Ovis aries: one gene and its partner. The protein of the gene in region 2 purifies or fractionates together with the protein of the main gene of each other region. This does not show direct contact. Links are inferred from orthologs where the notes say so. Each region holds a gene or a part of one and is shown on either strand. Other genes may lie near its edges.

Region 1 (6,612 bases), about 29 Mb from region 2:
GCTGCACAGTTTAGTGACAGTTCCTAATAGGTTTCTATGATTCCTTCTTTTGTCTTCGGCACTGGAGAAGACAGGAGGAGGAGTTGCATAGCTTTGTTTGGGGCCTGTTGTCTCTTCATCCCAGGATGTTTGGACTGGTGAAGGCCAGAATCATATTTGTTCCCTCCCAGAAGTTCTGTCTGTTGGTCATCAACAGAAATTGACCCCCAGAGTCTAATGCTATTTTCAAGGCTTTTAACCAAAATCTCTCCAATCCAATAAGCTTTTGACCCTATTGACTTTGTGTGCTTCTCCCCCTGCCCCCCCTCAGTTCTGACTGAATTTGTTTAGCTTTCTAGGCGTTGGGCCAACCTAGGCAGTAGGGGGCTTGAATAAGTTCAGCAGGGAAGCATGTCGTTCTTGACACGCTGCCACGGACCAGTACGTTCCCCACATTTTCACTTAGGATTTCAGTCACTTGACAAGGCATTTTGTCCCGACGATCGGGCGTTTACCCACAGATTTCTAAATTTAAACATTGGGTGTGAGTGAAAAAGAATGTGCTTGTAACCTGTGCTTCTTGGAGGAAGGCAGGCAGGATGTCTTTCTGCCATGGCAGTGGGGGAGGGGTAGGAAGAGCTCTCCAGTTGCCTCAGGTGTGGGTGGCAGAACATCCCCAAACTGCGGTTAGTTGTGTCTTATAAATCACTTCAGTTTCTCTGTTTTTATAAAAGGAGGGTAATGCCTCTTACTTAATGAAGCCTATATGGAATAATGGAGAATTTTTATAAACTCTGATGTCTAGTGCAAAAAGCATCTGTGATGATGTGGTAGAATGTAAGTTGCAGAGCACAGTTACAGGCATTAGCTCTTTGTGATCCTTGAGAGTGCTTTAGAGATTACACAAGGAAACTGAGGTTCATTGTGGTTATCATCCCAGGTCACACACTTAGGAGATCTGAGACTCAAAACGGAATTATCAGGCTCTTCATCAGTGTTCTTTTCTACAATAAGTCCCTCTCTTTTTATGTGGTAGTTGCTTTAGGGAGAAGGTCAGGGAGTTAGGAGGACCCACTGGGTTTGGGACAGCAGGGAATTAAATCCCCAAATTTGATCTCAACACTTTCCTAGTAAATGGGACCTCATGGTGCTTCAAGAACTTTATACACACACACACACACAGCTTCCACTACTCTTTAGGGGTCCATCTCAGGCTTAGTGTCCTGTTTTATCCGTGTATAGTAGGTAGAGGGAACATTTGTTTCATTTTGAGCTTAAAACACCACTTGGCAGGGGTGTTTATATAACTGGTGTAAGGTGGAGTTGCCTTTAAGAATTTGAAACTCAATATTCTGATATCTAAAGCCAAAAGAATATCCAGTCCACATAAAATATGAATAATGGTAATCAAGTTGATTTGCTTATTAATTTAGTATTAATACCAGCTTACTTTCTTTAGTGCTGAAAACAAAAATTCCAGTGAAATGTAATTTTTAAATGGGCTATTAACAATGAAAATAAACATTTAATCAGACTTCACAGAATACGTGATTATTTGTGTGTTGCTTTTCCTTCCTCCACTCGTCTCCTTGCCCCACCACCTCTTCTTCCTGATTTCATGAGAAGAAAATGCTGAGCCAGACTTGGATGACAATGAGGATGAGGAGGAGCCTGCCGTGGAGATTGAACCCGAGCCAGAGCCCCAGCCAGTGACCCCAGCCCCACCACCTGCCAAGAAACGGAGAGGACGCCCCCCTGGCAGAACCAACCAGCCCAAACAGACCCAGCGTAAGTTGCTTGTCTCAGCTCAGTAGGCTGGCGTCCTCTCCTAATGTGGGGAAGCCAGACAGGTCCTTGTTCTCTGGATAGATGGGAACCGAGCCATGAGAACAAGTTAAGGTCACACTGGGAACAAATTCTCAGGAAGCGATTTTTTAGTTTTTTATTGGGGAACATCTGAGAAAGTCTCTAGAGGATTGTTAAGTTTCAGCAAGATAAAGTCCAGAGTCAAAGGGTACTTACTATGAGATGGGTATTGTCAGTGTCAGAGGGTTTTACAAAACAATTAGAGTCTTAGTTAGCTGGTAAAATTGACATGGTAATGAATGTAATGTATAAGAGCCAAATTTTAAAGGATGGAGGAATAAAGGGATTTCCATGATGACAGTGTCCCTCCTAAGAAACCCAGACCCATGACATGGATTCTGTTGCTGCCTTCCTGATTTATGAGAAGACATTGGGGAGCAGTCCTGTACTGGACATGGCCCTTGTAATTGCAGGCTCTAGGGAGTCTCAGGTGTCTGTTCTATTCATGAATCTCCGAAAAGCTGGCAATTCTTTTTCTTTCTTCAACAAATGCAGTGTTTCATCTGTTTTTTTAATATGTTCCTTGAGCCCCATGTCAAAATGTCTTATTACAGAGGGGTGGTGGGGGAACTATTTGACCTACAAATATTTGAGTGAACAAACTGGTGGTAGAACCCTCGGTGTTGGACAGCTTCAGATGCAAAAATATCAGGTTCTGGAACTTCTCTGGAGGTTCATGGCTAAGACTGCACTCCCAATGCAGGGGCCCCCAGGTTCAATCCCTGATCAAGGAACTAGATCCTGCAGGCCACAGCTAAGCTCGTGTGCTGCAACTAAGACCTGGCACAGATAAGTTTGTTAAAAGTGTCGGGCTCTTGCGCTGCAGGTGGGGCATCTCTGAGACAGGCCTGCCCGCGCCCTCCACTCTGAGGCCTGCCTTGACTCGTGCGCCCTGCATGTTTTGCCTGTGTCACACTGACTGTTGTGAAGCCCTAATCTATGAGATACAGGAAAGCTTAAGGTTTTTAACACATGATTTGGGAGGCATATGAAGAGGAATGTCAGTACTTTGTTTTTTGGTACTATCTAGAGTATTTGGGCTTTGTGTATGGCCACATTATAGGTTATTAAGTCTTTTTTATTGATGTTCTCTATATCAAAACTGAGGCTTTCCTGTGTTGCTGACTTTCATTTAGTGTCAAAGTCTGAAAAGACCCTTGCAATTCTTGGGGGCTTTAATGGAGCATTTGTTTTCTTCATGCTCTTCTTTGCCAGCAACAGCCATCATTCAGGTCGAAGACCAGAATACAGGTGCAATTGAGAACATTATAGTTGAAGTCAAAAAAGAGCCAGATGCAGAGCCTGCGGAGGGGGAGGAAGAGGAGGCCCAGCCAGCTGCCACAGATGCCCCCAACGGAGACCTCACGCCTGAGATGATCCTCAGCATGATGGACCGGTGATGGCAGGGCCTTGCTCCTTGCCAGGACTGCTCTGGGCTGTGTTTAAACGGCCTGCATCTTAATTTTTCTCCCTTCTTTCTTCTTTTGGCTTTGGGAAAAGCATCATTTTACCAAACATACTGAGAACTAAAACTTCAAGGATGATGTTAGAAAATGTGATTTAACTAGAACTTGCTGTTTGATGTTAGCAAATCATGGAATGTTCTGAGTCCCTGAGGGTTTACTGTGAAGTGCTGAGGACAGTGTTCACGCCTCCCTGGTTTTCTTAGCTGGAAACAGAGACATTGAACCCTCTCTCTTGCAATGGTAAACCACTCCAGAAACCACCACCGGGTTTCCCAGAGTTCTTACAGTCTTCTTCCCAGGAGAGTTTTTAATTGTAAATGCAGACTTGGGAAGGACTTAAACTTTTAAACTGGTTTTTGCTTTTGCTTTTCCCTGACTCCCTTTGCTTGGAGTCAGCTGCACACCAGTAGTATGGCATGCTACGATTGGTTTCTGTCCTGAAGACTTTGCCTCTTTCTTGGCAAAGTTTCTGGTATGGTCAAGCTTGTAAATAACTTTTTTTACATTTTAATCTTTTCCATTAATTACGAGGTTGAAAAGAAGTGCAGTGTAAGAAAACCCAGCATTTTAATTACTTGCAAATTAAGTTACTACAGATGGTAGTTTGTAAACGTTGACGAGGAATTGGATCACAATCATGTCGCAGAACGGCACCGAGACTGCTGCCCTAGTGACGGACACCCACATGGAGCACCACGACTCCAACCCATGGAGCCAGCATTTGAACCTTGCACAATTAACTTTCAGTTATGATTTCCCATCTACGTTTCCTTTGCTTTGTTCGTAGCTGAGTTTCGTGTTTTATAAATCCTCTGTTGAAGCAGAAGGGTGATTATGAGTGGGTCACAGCAGCTCTTAAAAGCTGGGCCAGGAAATTTCACTAGGTCAGTAATTTAAACTTCGGATCTTCAAAAAAATAATAATGTGAAGCAAAACCAACTCAAAGTGATTCTTGCACATGAACTGTCACATGTTTAAAATGTGTTTTTTAGAGAGCCTCAGTCTTGCTGATTTCAACACTTTTTTCTTCTGTGTATTGCTTTTAAGAGAGCCATCAGTTAGCTATCAGACTCTAGGTTGATGCATTTTGTACTTAGCTGTACTGTGTGATATTTTTCATTATTTTAGGACGCCAACATGAGACCTGTAATAAAATATGTAATGGGGTTGAAAGCTGGGGAGGAGGATCTACTGCTGTACAGCTAATAAATCATAACGGATTAACAAGCGCTCCGAACACCCCCACTTGTGTGATTCCTGCCTAACCAGGGGCCCAGGGGGGTCTGTGTGCATAATCTCAGACAGCGCAGGCCTCTTTCAGAAGTGAGCTGTGCTTCCAGGATGACCACTTCTGTCTAGCAGATGGGCGATGATCTTGGCAAGTGATGGACTATTGAGGGCATCAATCCTGCTACAAGTTTTAATGCCCCAAAAGTATATGAGTAGAGATGTGAGTCTATACAGCTGCCAGCCCCCATGATCCACATAAAGAGTGGATTCCCTGTGGTAGAGCAGGTGGACCACAGAGCTTAAAGTAAAAGGGGCCAGTGGGGAGCTCTGGCCTCAAGATCTCAGCTCAAGATTTCCCTGGTGGTAAAGTGGATAAGAATCTGCTTGCCAATTCAGGGGACATGAGTTCGATCCCTGGTCCAGGAAGATTCCACATGCCGCATGGCAACTAAGGCCGGCACCACAGCTACCAAAGTCCACGCACCTGGAGCCTGTGCTCCACAGCCAAAGAAGCCATTGCAGTGAGAAGCCGGTGAACCTCAGCGAAGAGTAGTCCCCGCTCAGCACCACTAGAGAAAGCATTCACGCAGCAGCAGAGACCCAGCAGAACCCAGATGTAAACAGATTAATAATAACTTTTTAAAAAATTGGCTCACAGAGAACTGGGATCATTGCATCAAGCTTTGCTAAATGGCAGGGGAACAGAGAGAAGCTGGACCCTGGGGAAGTTCTTCTCTTGTCTGCCCTAGAGAAACTCACTTGAAAGGGGAGACCGATGTGCCACTACCAGACTGCGGGGAGAGACCTAGAGAGCATAGCTCCCTGTTAGCACCTGGGAAGCATGCTGGGAAGGGAATGCGTTAGGAAGTTTCTGTGTTGATGAATTACCATCTTGCTGTTGTCCATTTCTGAGCAGATTGCTCTGGCAGACCCATTGTAGGTGAAAGCTTTGGCCACAAATTACAGGGTTTTTTGGTTACTGAAGTATAGTTGATTTATAATGTGTTACTGCTGTCCAGCAGTGTGATTCAGTTATATATACATTCTTTTTTTTTAAATACTCCTTTCCATTTTGGTTTATCATAGACTATTGAATATAGTTCTCTGTGCCATACAGTAGGACCTTTTTTTTTTAAATCCATTCTATATATAAAAGCTTAACATCTGCTGATCTCAGCCTCCCTCTCTGTCCTTCCCTCTTGGCAACCACCAGTCTGTTCTCCATGTCTGTGATTCATAGATAAGCTCATTTGTGTCATATTTGAGATTCCACATATAAGTGATAGCATATGGCATTTGTCTTTTTCTGATTTACTTCATTTAACATAATTTCTAGTTGCATCCATGTTGCTGCAGTAGCGCTTTTCATTCTGTTTCGAGGCTGAGTAGTCCATTGTGTATACATACCACATCTTCTGTATCTGCTGATGGGCATCTAGGTGGCTTCCATGTCTTGGCTCTTGTAAATAGTGCAGGTAGGAACATAGGGTGTGTGTATGTGTTTGAATTATAGTTTTGCCCAGATATGTGCACAGGAGTGGGATTGCTGGATCAAATGGTTTTTTATGATGGCCATTCTGACTGTTAAGAAGTGGTACCTCACTGTAGTTTTGATTTGCATTTCTCTAATAGTGATGTTGAATATCATCATGTGCATATTGGCCATCTGTGCTGCTTTGGAGGAATGACTTAAGTCTTCTGCCCATTTTTGGGTTGGATTGTTTAATTTTTCATTGTTGAGTTGTATGAACTCTCTATATATTTTGGAGATGAAGCCCTTGTCAGTTGCATTATTTGCAAATATTTTTTCCATTCCATATGTTGTCTTAGATTTTTTTTGATTTTCTTTTCTATGCAAAAGCTTGTAAGTTTGATAAGGTCCCATTTGTTTAATTTTGTTTCTACTTCGTTTGCTTTGGGACACTTGACTTAAAACATTGGTACGATTTATGACAATGTTTTGTCTATGTTTTCTAGGAGTTATATGGTGTCTTGTTCTGTTTAAGTCTTTCAGTCATTTGTGTGTTTTTTTGCATATGGTGAGAGGGTGTGTTCTAATTTCATTGATTTA
Region 2 (8,272 bases):
GCCCAGCAGGAAGGAAGGTTCTGATACAGGACTCGAGGCGCTGCTGCACAAGCCGCCGTGACTGCCGGGACCCTCACCACCCTGGGCAGACGACGACCCACAACTCGCCTGAACGAGGGAGAGCCCTCCAGAGCGCTTAGGAGAGCGCAGACTACATGCTGCGGCCCTCCACTAGTCCTCCCGGAACACAGCACAGGGCCACGAGCTAACATGCTAGAGCCCAAGAAGCCCTACCACTCAAACGCGCGCAAGCCACCTCCCACATCTCGCACCGGAGCAGCGTCAGTGCCATCTGTCGGGCCCGGAAGAGACGCGGGCCCACGCGCCAGCTGAGTGCTTGCCGTCCATGCTCTACTGAGACAACGGTGAGGATGGCCTCAGTGCCTGGCAAAGTAGACCAGCGGGCGCCAGCTTCTCCCTGGCACCCGGCAACTCAAGCTTCAGGGGCCCTTGCCTGGGGGCGTCCAAGCGCCACTCAAGAGAGCTCCGGGGTCGCTGCCGGCTGCACTCCCGGGGCTGGTTATCATCACAGAGGGTTATCATTTATTAGCTCCTAAAAGCACCATTACCACCCACACCCCCCGCCCCCAGACAAAGCCTGAAGGAAAGCTGGCTGACTGTCACAGCCTTCCTAGCAGACTCGCAGCCAAGGAGAATCTGAGTGGAGAAACATACTACGCCTTTTCCAACACCCCAGGTACCAATCTGCCCTGAATACACACTGAACACAAGTCAAGGATAGTCTCCCATTTCCAAGTGCATAGAAATCTTAGTGAAAAGCCTGCACAATGAGAACTGCAAAACACCATCAAAGAAACTAAAGACGCAGACGCAAAGAAATTCAGTGCTCATGGACTGGGGCCGCAGCTAAAACACGCCCACACTACCTATAGCGACATACAGACTGGAGGCAATCCCTATAACAATTCCAATGCCATTTTTCACAGGAAAAGAACAAGCAATCCTAAAATCTTTATGGAACCAGAAAAGACCCTGAATAGCTAGCTCAAGCCCATCTGGAGGAAAAACAAAGTTGTAAAAAAGACAAAAACAAAAAATAAACAGAAGAAAACCCCCCCAAAGTTGTACACATTAGTCACAGTAATCAAAGCAGTACGACACTACTGGCATAGAAACAGATCAAGGGAGCAGAATGGAGACCAGAAATAAGCCCACATATACAAACGGTCAGTCAATTTACAACAAAGGAGCTGGGCATACACAGTGGGGAAGTCTCTCGATAATGGTGTCTGGAAAACTGGACAGCCACATGCAAGAACAAGGCTGAACCCCTATCTTATCCTGTGCAAAAGTTAACTAAAAACCATGAATTCCCACAAGGTCCAGCAGTGAGGACTCGGAAACTGGTGATTCCACTGCAGTGGCCCCGGCTCAGCGGTAAAGAATATGCCTGCAACACAGGAAATCCCTGGTTGGGGGGCGGGGGAGATCCCAGGGGGAAGGAAACGGCAGCCTACTCTATCATTCCTGCCGTGGAAATCCCATGGACAGAGGAGCCTGGCGGGCTACGGTCCATGGGGTCCACTGGGAGTTGGACATGACTTAGCGACTAAACAACAACTGGGAATGAAGATCCCTTAAGCTCTCCAGCGGGGGGAAAAAACAAACCCAAAGTGGATTAAACACAGGAATGTAAGACCTGACACCATGAAACTCCTAGGAACACAGGCACTACCCTCCTTGACCTCAGTCTCGGAGATGATTGTTTGGATCTGATTCTAAACTAAAGGTAACAAAAGGAAAAATCAACAAGTTGGACCACATCAAACTAAAAAGCTTCTGCAGAGCATAACAAAAAGAAAAACCACCTTCGGAATGGGAGAAAATATTTATAAATCACATATCTAATAAGGCGTTAATAACCAAAATATATAATGAAATAATACAACAGCAAAAAAAAAAAAACACTTCGATTAAAAAATGGGAAGATGATCTGATGTTACTGTGGAGATCATTTCACAATATACAAATGTATCATTCTGTTCCATACTCATAATGTCAAATGATAAATTATACAATTTAAAAACTGAACATAATAATCAAATATTATTATAAAACATATCCAAAGGTAAACAAAAGTGAGTTTGGAATTATCTACCAGTTTGGACACTTCATGTCTTTTTGTACTTATATTAGAAAATAAACATCTGACAATAACTCAACCTGTATTACTTTGAAAACATATTTTACTTACTATTATTAACCCACCTACATCCTTTAATAGTGAGTAGGAAAAATCTTACTGGATATGAAGACAAAAATAAAACTGATAAACTTGCAGCCTTCAGCAACAGGAATGTGTCAAACTACTGAAAATTGATAAACGGTTTTCATTTGGCCAAAAGAATTAACAATCAGAATCAGCCAAATCAAAGTTTGTTTAAAAAAAAAAAAAACAACTGTATGCCAGTGGGCACCTCAATGGCCAAGGGGCCCTTGTCTCTATGGCATGAGGCAAGCATTTAAGGGCCTTAGTTTCTAATATGATGTGTTAGTCACTCAGTCGTGTCCAACTCTGCCAGGCCCCTGTCCACAGCATTCTCCAGGTAATAAGCTGGAATGGGTTGCCATTCCTACTCCAGGGGATCTTCCTGACCCAGGGATCAAACTCCCACTAAGGTGTGAGTCTTATGACAAAAAGAGTCACAGGTGTCAACTCCCACCTCACACCAGAACAGGGTAGAGAATCTGCCTGCAGTGCAGGAGAGCCAGGTTTGGTCTTTACCCTGTGCTGGTGTCAGGTGAGAGCTGATACCTGTGAATGACTGAATGAAATGAACCAGTAACTCTTCTTGTCAGGTAAGACTCACACCTTAGTAGGAAAGGCTGGACCTCAAACAAGGCCAAGCTGCAGCAGTAAGCAAACACCTCAGAGCTCCCAGGCTCCTCCTCTCCATCCCAGCAATCTAGCTTCACTCACTGTGGATTACTTGCTGTTGCCCTCCCCACGCAACATCCCCCCTGGAAAACCAAGTAATCCCTGGACACCCGCTGCTCAACCCTGCCCTGTGCCATCTCTTTGTCACATGACTGGTTAGCACCTAAGTTTCTCTGTGATTAACTCTCCAGCAAGTTTCCCTGAGACCAGAACAAGCTGAGGTCTGTCCCCCAAACTCTGGGACAGAGTTCCACCCAATACCAACATCCACCAGGGAGATTCCTGAATTCTCACAAGTGTCAAAGGAGCTTCCGAACTAACAAAGGTTAAAAATGAGAACCTCTCACACCCTTGGAACTGGGATAGATCAAAGTGATGAATCTGTTAGTGTAACCTCTCCAAACCTTTCTCAGTCTCTACTATGGATGACTACTAATGCTTAACACAAGTGTAAGAGCACTTCCATCCTTAATCACGGTTTGGGAGAAAAATCAGACTAGCCACTCTAATTGAAAATAAAAAGCCAGCTGCCCAAGTTAGCCCAATCCCTCCTCACTTTCACTAGAATCAAGATTTCCCGGGGTCAGACCAAAAGCAGCATCAAGATAATACCTACAAAATGGCCAATTCTAGAGGTAACTAAAAACAAATTTTAGATACTGTGAGCAAACTTCCTGTTGTGTAAAGTTTATCCTAATAAAAGGTGTCACAAAAAACAGATACACCTACACCAAAAAAGAGTCAGCTACAGCCAAGGTCGTTAGAGTCACAAACTGTCTATGAAGCTCCTCCACACTCGGGACAGAATGCAGCACCAAGTCTACTGACTACTCTCACATTTAGGAACTGTTTCAACTTGGCGTGTTACCTAACCATCATCTGGAAGCCTCCTTCAACTCCCAACCCTGAGCTCGCGTGCCCTCCAGTCCCACCTACTGCGGGAAGTCTCGATCACTTGCTCATTTGAAGACTGTGATCCAGTACCCCCGCCAGTCTACTTGTGCAAATGTACACCAAGAGCATAGAAAAGATATTCAGTGAGCCTTATAAAGTACCAGCTTTCTTAGTATTTTCACCATCTGACAACCTAAGAGGTCCTACTGAAATATGAATGATATCGTCCCTTCCAAAAGCCCATCAACCTCACATCTTAAAGCAGATAGACCTTAAGAGTCTAAAAGATGGCAGTTTGTCAAATATACCACACCATCATTTTTTTTCACCTTAAATCATACGGTGGGTTCCCTCTAAGATCACCTGGAACCGTTCTTTCCTGTGAAACCCACAGGTCCTCTACTGTTCAGACCCTGAGTAAACGTCCTTCACCATCGTGCTAAAGGCGGCAAATACACACACTCAAGTTCCACCCTGGTGGGACTTCTCAAATGTCACCGTCCAGTCCCTCTAGCAGGGAACAAGAACGTAAGGAGCAATACTGCTCTGTGAACTATGTATAGATATAACCAGGTGCCCAATACTTGGCACTGTTAGTTCTAGTCCACTGGAAACCGATTCTCAGTGTTTGAATAAAACAGACATAAACAAGAAAAAAGCTACGTACTCGGAGATTCAGACCTATTTCTCTACTCCATAACTCCTATTAAAAGCTGGATTCAATGTCTTGCTCCATGTCTTGCACAACCCTAGAAGGAAGAACACCAGCAGCTCTCCCGGGGGCTCACAAACACACCTTCGAACAGACGCCGCGGGTCTTTCTCATCCAGCGTCAGCAGCTCCCGGGCAGCCTTTCGGATCTTGGCCAGGGTGAATTTGACCCTCCAGACCTCACGTTTGTTCCGGAGCCCGTACTCGCCTGCAGAATGAGTGAAAAAGCTCAGTCCCATGGACTAGTGAAAAAGGATTAGTGATTTCGGGATACAGAAAAACAACAATCCCGCAACTGGGTGAGGAGGGCGAACACACTGGAGAATTTTAACGAGCACGTGGGCGGCCTCACCCACGTGTCAGCTTCCCCAGCCCGGGAAACAGAAACCTAGCTTTAGCCACTCACCGATCAGCTTCAGCTCTTGGTCGAGGCGGGACTTCTCGAAGGGTCTCCGCGGGGTCACATAGGTTTTGCGACAAACCCAGCTCCGGGCGACCGGCATGCTGGCTCTGTTTGCCCGTCTGCGCCTGCGCGGGAAGGAGAGCGGCCTGAGAGGACTCGGCGGCGCCTGCGCAGTCCCACAACTACGCCAAGAGCCTCCCGGCGCCTAGGGAAGATATCGCGAGAACCGTCCCTGAAGAGTTTTATAACCGACTATTCATTTCTACCACTTTCCAGTTACGCCCATTTCACCTCCAACTGCTTTAGCGTACTCATTAAAGGTCGAATAGCCCGCAAGACTTTACGACCGACACCCAAAATACCGAACGCGGCCGCAAGGCTCACCTGAGCGAACGCTCTGGAAACCAAGAAAGAGGAGCACACGTTCGCCGGCCGCGTTCTTATAGCAACGTCGCCATCTTGTGACGTCAGCACGCAGAGCGCAAGTTTGCACCAATCAGAAAAGGCCTTGGCGGGCGGACAAAGCAGTCAAGAGGAGAGCTTGGGCTAGAGTGGCGTGCTGAACCGGGAGGACTCCTGAGGGATTAATGCTCGGTCTGGTGCGACGTGAGGGCTCCTCTCTTAAATCACCACTCAGCTAACGTCTGAGTCGCGGTATGAAGCTGGAGTAGTCACGGCCTCCGCCGCTAGGCTTCAGCATGCTGCGTCTCTCTGAAGAGATCTCCAGAGGACTGGACCTATGCGAATTCAGAGCCCCTTCCAAGATGCTCTGTTATATCCATGAATACTTTTTAAAAAATAATTTTTCATATCAGAATGTCTACGCGAGGCACAGCCAGAAGCCAGTCTGCCCTTTTGAACCCTTCAACAGCCCCTCTGTTCGTGAAACTTTGAGTCTAAGGGAGGAGAGGGAAAATAATAAGGTCTTTTCAGATAGCTGCTGTGAGGAAAATAAATTATTGGTAATGACTGAGCTTCTCTGATGACTCAGTGGTAAAGAATCCGCCTGCAGTGCGGGAGACCCAGGTTCGATCCCTGGGTTGGGACGATCCCCTGGAGAAGGAAATGGCAATCCACTCTAGGACTATTGCCTGAAAAATCTCATGAACAGAGGAGCCTGGCAGGCTACAGTCCACGGGGTCGCAAAGGGTCGGACAGGATTAAGCGACTAAGCACATCTCTCAGTGACGGAGGGAAAATGGTATTTCAGAAAGGATGGTCAGGGAAGCCTCCTTAAGAAGGTGACTGATGAAAACTGTGATGTGTGTGTGTATGTGTGTATACACGTAAAGGTAACTAACTTTTCCTTAAACGAGATCCAATGATTAAAAGACTCTGTGCCTCTTTGTGAAAGCAGTTTATATCCTGAGGTTTTCTTTGGGTTTCCAGAACAGGGAAAATATTCTGAAACCTCTTGCTATAAACCTGAAATATATATATATCTCCTCTCAGACAGCCCCAGGATTATTGCCTCTAGTGCTTTTCTCTCTGGGATAATCCCATTCACACCAACTTTATCTTGGTTAGATAATATTTAACAAGCACTCTAAATCTCCTAGGCTTTGGGTTAAACACCTTACAGTTTTGGGTGTTTTGTTGTTGTTGTTATTGTTGTTGATGTTTTAATTCATGTGACCCATTATTTCTATCACTAAAAATAATAGGTGGCATTCTAGAATACTTAATTACTATGCATCAGGCCCCATTCAAAGAATTGTACCCATGTTAATTTACTTAATCCTGGGCTTCCCAGTGGCGCTAGTGGACAGAGAAGCCAGTCAGGCTACAGTGTGTGCATACTAAGTTGCTTCAATTGTGTCCAACTCTCTGCAACTCCATGAACTGTAGCCGACCAGGCTCCTCTGTCCTTCAATCGTGTCTAATTCTCTGCAACCCCGTGAACTGTAGCCCACCAGGATCCTCTGTCCATGGAATTTCTCAAGCAAGATACATGAACTGTAGCCGACCAGGCTCCTCTGTCCTTCAATAGTGTCCAATTCTCTGCAACCCCGTGAACTGTAGCCCACCAGGATCCTCTGTCCATGGGATTCCTCAGGCAAGATACTGAAGTAGGTTGCCATGCCCTCCTCCAGGGGATCTTCCCAGCCCAGGGATCAAACCCGCGTCTCTTGTCCCTTGTGCTTTCAGGCTGGTTCTTTGCCCCTAGTGCCACCTGGGAAGCCCTATAGTTTCCTGTGCTATCTAGTAAATTCTTGATTTTTACCTGCTTTACATATTGTCATGTGTATATATTAATCCCAAACTTATAATTTATCTTCCCTCCCCTCACTGTTCCCTTTGGTGACCATAAGCTTGTTTTCCATGTCTGTGAGTCTGTTTGTTTTAATAATGTTTATCTATTTTTTTCTAGATTCCACATAAGCGATTGCCATGTCATGCTTGTCATTGCCTTACTTCACTAGTTGTCATTACCTATGACCATCTCTAGGTCCACCCATTTTGCTGCAGATGGCAAGATTTCACTCTTTTCTATGGCTGAGTAATACCCCATTGCACATATGTACCGAATCTTCTTTATCCATTCATCTGTTGATGGACACTTAGGTTGCTTCCATGTCTTGGTTATTGTAAATAGTGCTGCAAGCACCTTTTCAAAGTATGGTTTTCTCAGTATACATGCCCAGGAGTGTGACTGCTGGGTCATTTGGTAGTTCCATTTTTAGTTTTTTAAGGACCCTCCATACTGTTCTCCCTAGTGGCTGTACCAATTTACATTGCCACCAATAGTGTAAGAGGGTTCCCTCTTCTCCACACCCTCTCCAGCATTTATTACCTGTCGGGGCCTTGAGTTCTATCCCTGGTAGACATGACTGAGCAACTAAATGCAGGCTCCTCTGTCCATGGGATTCCCCAGGCAGGAATAATGGAGTGGGTTGCCATGCCCTCCTCCAGGGGATCTTCCCAACCCCGGCATCGAACCCAGGTCTCCCACATTGGAGGCACACTCTTTACCGTTTGATCCACCAGGGAAGCCCATGGGGTCACAAAGAGTTGGACACGACTCAGCGACTAACACACCTGCTCCTTACTAGAAGTGGGACCTTGGGCAACTCATTTCCCCTCCCCCAGGCTTTTCCTCATCTGCCCAAACACCTGCAGCAACTGCCCACACCTCCCAGGATTGTCTTAAGGATTCAAATCACAAACTCCACACTGATTCAACAAATTTATTGAGACCTCTTGGGACCTAAGCCCTGTAGAAAACAGAAATGAATCAGCTTTCACACTCAGGAAACTCATGGTTGGAAACTGTTAACAATAAAAAAAAACACAGCCACTAAGTGCTTTGGATTGGGGAGGGATATAAGGAGGATGTAGTGTTTATAAATCTGGAATCGAACACT

The links.
Region 1: the proteins of RPS9 (region 2) and CTCF purify together in Homo sapiens (affinity purification with mass spectrometry; 3 studies listed by BioGRID and IntAct, with this or other methods). This does not show direct contact. The link is inferred for Ovis aries from reciprocal best matches to the Homo sapiens genes RPS9 and CTCF.

What each region holds. Positions count from the first base shown.
Region 1 is NC_056067.1:34,743,184-34,749,795, forward strand, and holds the end of CTCF (transcriptional repressor CTCF), read left to right. Parts: exon of another isoform or gene 1-1,589; intron 1,590-1,605; coding exon 1,606-1,767; intron 1,768-3,060; coding exon 3,061-3,245; 3' UTR 3,246-4,540; downstream 4,541-6,612.
Region 2 is NC_056067.1:63,944,613-63,952,884, forward strand, and holds the start of RPS9 (small ribosomal subunit protein uS4), read right to left. Parts: upstream 5,323-8,272; 5' UTR 5,292-5,322; intron 5,113-5,291; 5' UTR 5,008-5,112; coding exon 4,911-5,007; intron 4,713-4,910; coding exon 4,590-4,712; intron 1-4,589. UniProt on the Homo sapiens protein: Component of the small ribosomal subunit. The ribosome is a large ribonucleoprotein complex responsible for the synthesis of proteins in the cell. Part of the small subunit (SSU) processome, first precursor of the small eukaryotic ribosomal subunit.